2 linked regions of the Saccharomyces cerevisiae S288C genome follow. Changing the gene in region 2 together with the main gene of any one other region gives a genetic interaction. Each region holds a gene or a part of one and is shown on either strand. Other genes may lie near its edges.

Region 1 (3,498 bases), on a different chromosome or scaffold from region 2:
TGTTGGATTTCCAACATAAAAAACTCCATCTGCTCGATCAACAAAAGCATCATCTAATGAATCTAATAAATTAGACGTGGCTAATGCTAAAAAGTTATGGTATTTTTTCAGCCTGTCAAGTTGCGTAAGTAAAGTGTTCACAACTCGGATTCCATCTGTTGACTCATTTCTACTTGACAAATTTGTTCTTGAACTTGCTATTGCTTCAACCTCATCTATCAAAAGGCATATAAAGATCCCTCGTCCCTCATTGACCTTTAAAAGCTCCTCAATGTCTTTGAATACTATTGATATATTTTTTGACGATTCTCCAAACCATTTAGAAAAGATGCGTGCACAAGACAATTCTATTATTATCCCCTTATAATTAGTATCAATGGTATCGGAACCGTCTGAAAATTCCCGCCTCACAGATAATTTTTGGCAAAGTGCTTTGCATAACGTTGTTTTACCTGTTCCCGGAGGACCATGGACAAGGAGTAATTTATTATTTGTGATTAGCGTTGTAATGTCTTCTTGATTGGAGTCTCCAGTTTGTTTGAATCTTGCTATCTTGAGAGATATAGTTGCGTAGCTATATAACCTTTCTTTAATATTGTTACCAAAATACAACGATTCCCATTGGCCCTCGAAAGTTGTGCCTGGAAGATATGATATATTTACTAAGTTTAGTGTTTGCTTACTTAGTGGAATGTCAAAATTTCCCACCGAATTGATACAATTGTTTAAAGTTTCTCCCTCAAAACCATCATCCTCGTCTAGTTCTAAGTCAATCTTGTCGAACTCTGTGGACAGTATGCTGCCATTTTTCAGCTCATCTTGCTCTTCCAGACAGCAAAAGGGATATATAATGAACTCGTCAACAGATCCCATGTGATAAGTGTCCGACTCGTTGGTCTCCTCTGAATCTAAAATAGAATCTATGTGCTGACCCAAATTTATTTTCTCATGAAAGTTCAATTTAATAGAGACGTGTGATGTGGACTGTTGCTCTATAGAAATTTTTTTAACGAATAAGGATAGAAACAAATTATCTTGTCCTTCATTTACTGTGTTAACTTTGCCATTTATGCTTGAAAACTGGTGTAATAAAACTTTTGCTAGGCTTCTAATCAAATGTTGTTGCGCCTCCGTTGGTGGATCCTTAATTTCAATACTTCCTTGCCCCTCTCTCATTAATTCTTGGCCAGTTATAATCGAAGTCTTTAAACGGTCTTTTGGGAAACTTTCCAACTTCCTCTTGACCACTGCTTTTAACAGATTCAAAAATTCTCCCAGCTTTTTGTTGCTGTTTTGTTTCGAGTCAGAACCAGAATGTAGAGAAGAAATTTGCTCATCCTCTCTAAACATACATTTGATAACCCTCAGAGATGATCCTCGCACTTGTAGGTCAACTATGTAGCTCATATCCTTATTTTATGTCTTCAGTTTGAGATCAGAATATTTTTATGAAAATGTTGTCACTCTCTTTTAACCGCCTCGCATTTCGTAGATTTGCCGCCCACCTTATTGTCAACGGCAAATCTAAGGATATATATACATATATATATATTTTTGAGAAAGATTATATTTTCGCCAACGATGAAAAAGAGAAAAGTACAGTACTATGTATTATGTGTTTTTCAACTCAAGAGAGGGGCAAACATATAACTGGTGCTATATATGATTAAGGCTGCGCTCAAATATACTTCTTACTTAATTGACTGAACAATACGTTGATAAGATGAAGGAAGAGTCTCAGATATTGGTTTCACAAAAAATTCAGAGAATGGAGTCATTTCGGTTACGGGCAATCTTTCGGTGATTGGTACGGAGTATCGCGATCTTTACACGTTCCACTAGTCAATCCAATCCAATTTATTCATTTGTCCGTAAATATTCTGCCGGCCTTCTCCCCATATTACAAAATAAAAAAATAAAACCTGAGTAATGGAATAGTTGGAAAAGCAAGGCAAATTTCCATCAGAAAGCAAGCCTATCCATTCAGCTAAGCTTATGAGATGAGTGTATTAAGATCTACATGCCTTTTCTTCCCTCCAAGATCCTTGTTGATATCATTTAACAAGCGGCGATTATTTTCAACTTCGAGGTTAATTTTGAATAAAGAAAGTGAAACTACAAAGAAGAAAGATAAAAGTAAGCAGCAAGATTTTAATCCTCGGCACCTGGGTGTTGCTGCCGAAATATTTATCCCCTCGGCTTACAAGAACCTTCCAAATGTATTTGCTCATCCTCTCATTGTTGCAAATGCATTGATCAGAAGACTTTACACGTTTGGTTTGAACTCTGTTCAAGTCGCATTGTTTCGTTTTCAATCAGGCATTAAACCTTCTTTTTTACTCTGGAAAAACAAAGCCATAGAGACGTATATCAATGTAAACACGTCATTTGCTCATAAAAATTTGTCGGACATCAAAGGGTTAGTTTCATTATGGGTTCAGGAAGCTCTCGAGGCTAGGTCCCGTCAACTTCCAGGTAATGCAACACTGGACTGGCAGTTGATAAAGTTTAATGCAGTTCCTAAACTAGTCTCAGTGCAACCAATCATGATTCCCGGAATGCCGTTAGAGCATTTACAGTTGGTTTACAAATTTGATACGAAGCAAAGACTAATTAAAGTCAATCAGCAAACTAAGAAGACTGAGACGTTAGACCGTGACGTTGTAGACTATATTGCCTTTTTGTGTGATGCTACAACTAATGATATGATTTTAATGGGATCTTTGTTTGAAAGTAAACCAAATGATAAATTACCGAAAAGCTACGAGGACGATGCTAAAGTTGCCATACACAGAATGAAAGTTAACGGTGATATATATCGTTTACCTCCAAGCTAAGGCAATATGTATATAAATGCGAAAAGTTTTGGAACATCTGTAAATAGCCATTGCTTCATTTGAGTTTCTTATTCCACATACCACTTACATATTCAGTAAAAACTATTCATTTGTTTTTCATTCTGAAGTATATATATTAAATTTATTAAATAGTTTTTCATGAAAAAAGTTATTGAAGCATCTCCCTTTCAATAGTGCATTAACTCTCCCATTCTAACCCATCTTTCCGTTGAATCGTCATAGAACAATGTTTCTGACAGATTGGTTTTCCTATAACGATCTTTGCAGCACAATCTGTGAAATAATTTCCATAAGCCGGTAAGAATAGTCCTGTTATAGCTGATACTACCTTGTACATAATTCATATCACTGAGCTTTGCTTCATCTTTTAGAGGCTGAGACTTCTCAAAACCTTCTGCGCTATCCAAACGATAGGTGCTGATTTCTTTTAATGCCAATGAATTATTAGAACACTTCCTACATTTAAGAACAACCTCTTCCTCGGACCTTCTCTTTCTATTTTCTGTATCAAAAGAACTGTCTTTTTCAATTGCTGCTGTGTTGTGAGGAATAGATCGATAAAGTACTTTTTTTTGCCCTGTTCGAATAACAAAAAGAAATAATGTCAATTCATTTGCACTGTAACAGTAATCAGCGCTAA
Region 2 (3,174 bases):
CTAAACGTTCATAAAACACATATGAAACAACCTTACAGCAAAACGAACAGAATGAGCAACATGAAAATAAAACTCTGCCTTCCTTAGCTAACCTACTCTAACGTATAAGTATCTGAACAATTGGTTTAGATCCAAGATTCCGCGCTTCCACCATTTAGTATGATCCATATTTTATATAATATATAGGATAAGTAAGATCCCGTGAATCAAGCTGATAAACCGTTTTGACAACTGGTTACTTCCCTAAGACTGTTTATATTAGGATTGTCAAGAACCTTGACATTACCCCATTGCATGATGCAATAATCTCATATAAATAACAAGCGCAAGTGGTTTAGTGGTAAAATCCAACGTTGCCATCGTTGGGCCCCCGGTTCGATTCCGGGCTTGCGCAATGTTTTTTCCATCCCCAAGTATGGGAACTAAAATAGCTAAAAATAAGTATGAAGTTATATTTTTAAACCTATTTACAGTGTACAAATAAATAATATATCATAAATGACACAGACGTATGTTTTAGGATGCAAAAGTTCAAGCTGCCCTTCCTAATTGAGTGACCCGACCCATCTACCAGAAGCGCCACCAGCTTTTAACCTGCTTATCCTGGACTATTTCCTTTGTTTTCTCCTCCGTTTCAGATCTTAGCTGAGACAGTTCATTTCTGATCCTAGCCAACTCTTCTTTTTGCACCTCCTCCGCCCTCACCTTAGCAAAGTGATCTCTGCTTTGAACGTTATCACCGTTCCTTTCCCAAGGTGATTGAAGGGGGCCCGTCTTCCAAATTGGATCGTCACTTTGAGAAGTTTCCTTAACAATTTTCATCAAAGCCTGCTGCTCCGACTGACGTAGTTTTTTCTCCCTCTCATATTGTAAACGTAATTCTGGGGAAAGCTGGCTGATTAACTGTTGATCTGTTGGCGTTGTGTACTTGAAAAGCAGAAACCCGCTTCCAATAATAGCGCCACCAATTGCATAGACTTTCAACCAACGTACCCACAATGGTCTTTCCATACCCAAATAATGCTTATACTGTCTTTGTTTTGCTATTACTGCCTCTCTAGGAGTTATCGCGCACTGCATGTATATAAAATTTTATCTTGATAAAATACCCCGGGGGATGAGCAAAAAAAGGGATATGGGGAATGAAAAGTGAGATAAACTAGCAATAATCTATTCTAATAAGTAGAACATTCACAAAGACTACTATGGTGTAATTCTGAAAGGATTTACGAGAGCACAAATACTATTATGTATAATTCTGACTGCAGAATCCGGCAAGCTTGATTTAATATCACTTAAGGAAGTAATATCGTTAATTGATAACCGAATATGAATCTCAATGCATATTTTGAAGCATATCAAGCCATTTTTCCTTTTCTGTTGGAGGCATTTTTAAGGAAAGAACAAAAAGTATAAAACACTTCGGTTAATAATAAATGATATGTGAATTTTTTTGAAAATATGTAAAATAAATAAGTAATAAATAAAAATAAGATGTGTTTATCGTAATGTACTATACAAGCCTTCCAAGCCGACTTCTGTAATAAAAAAAAAAGGTGCAGCTTAATGTTTGACGGTTCCTATCCTCTCTCCCTTATAAGCTGTAGTTAACCAATCAACTCACCAAACAAAAATGGGGTGAATACTCTAATAGCTGTGATCAAAATCATAATACCTTCCAATAAAGCCATTGGTAATCCCAAGAAACCACGTTCTTCCATGTTCAAGTAAATGGTGTAAAAAGCGACAGCGAAGAAAACCCTGGTCAATTGCAAAGGCTTTGGCAAGACACCAGACAGAAATTCAACGGGTTTGTTGACACAATCGCCACCTCTTTGGAAATATTTGAAACAACCTTTTTGTAATGCCTTCAAGTTATCGCTGTCAGCAGCGAACAAAGAATACAAAGCCACTGACAAAACGTTAATAACGGAATCGTAACTCTTTCTTTCGAAATGGTAGTCTAGTAATTCATCCAAAACCTTTTCACGGTCGCTGAAGTCTAGGTCACCTATTTTCTTAATCAACAAGACAACATCATGCAAACCGACAGTCATACCACCACCAGTCAATGGATGTCTCATATTTAGAGCGTCACCGATAACACACATACCAGTGACGTCGTTTTGTCTAGCTGGCAAGTAGGAGTTTGGCATAGCTCTAAATTTACCTTGGCTGACGGCTTCATCAAATGAAGGACGTAGACTCTTTGGAATGAAAGGTTGGACATCCTTAATCATCCAACTCTTGATATCAGCTGGGACCTTTGGAGAGTTGTAAGCACAAAGGATTCTTGTTTCTTCTGGACTGATTTGGTAAACCAAGATTGGCATATGATCACTACCAAGAATAACGTGACCGTGCATAGGAGCAGGATTCTTAGCATTGAACAAAGACATACCGACAAACGAAGAACCGACAGTTGGAACATGGTCTGGGTGCAATTCCTTTCTGAAACGTGAAAAGATACCGTCACAGATAAATGTCAAGTGGGCTTTGAATTCCACCTTGCCACGGCCATCAATGTCAACCTTGGCACCAACAACCTCATTCTTTTCATCCTTCAATATCTCAATACAGTTACCTTGCACTCTAGTAACATTTGGCTCTTGAGCAGTAATGTTTCTCAAGTTGTTCAAGAATCTACCATGAACAAAAGCAACACCCCTTTCTCTTTCATCATCTTCGTAATCCTTGATGTGAATAGTGCTGTCTTCCAAGACCTTGTCATTACCATCTTTGACCAAGTCCTTCAATTTTTCAACTTTAGGGATATCGGCCTTGTAAGGGTATGGAATATCAACTTGTTCGCCGTTGAAAAAGACGGTATAACCGGTAACAGGATATGCTTCGATGTTGTTGATAGATTGAATCATACCCAGACTTCTCAATGCTCTAACACCACCTGGTTGCATCAATTCACCAACAATTCTATCAGGCATAGCCCAGTCACGTTCTACGATAAGAACTTTCTTACCCTTTCTTGCTAGACCAGTAGCAACACATGGACCGATAACACCAGCACCGATGACAATCGCATCGTAGGTAATTGTGTTGTCGGCATTAATCAATTCAGGTGCAACGTTAACAGCAGACATGACCCTTTTCTCGATATGTTTTTCTGTGATTTTTTTTTTTCAATTGTTCGAAATAACCTGTATTGTTCAATACTGG

What was found.
Region 1: mutations in CBP4 (region 2) and MBA1 together harm fitness less than expected from each alone (positive genetic interaction), as found in Saccharomyces cerevisiae (2 studies listed by BioGRID).

What each region holds. Positions count from the first base shown.
Region 1 is NC_001134.8:598,462-601,959, reverse strand, and holds MBA1 (Mba1p), read left to right. Parts: upstream 1-2,000; coding exon 2,001-2,837; downstream 2,838-3,498. Other genes in the region: PCH2 (Pch2p), read right to left, coding at 1-1,407; YBR184W (uncharacterized protein), read right to left, coding at 3,026-3,498. UniProt on the Saccharomyces cerevisiae protein: Mitochondrial inner membrane-associated mitoribosome receptor that spatially aligns the mitoribosome exit tunnel with the membrane insertion machinery and allows cotranslational protein membrane insertion.
Region 2 is NC_001139.9:845,326-848,499, forward strand, and holds CBP4 (Cbp4p), read right to left. Parts: upstream 1,081-3,174; coding exon 568-1,080; downstream 1-567. Other genes in the region: YGR174W-A (uncharacterized protein), read left to right, coding at 1,330-1,416; ERG1 (squalene monooxygenase), read right to left, coding at 1,608-3,098.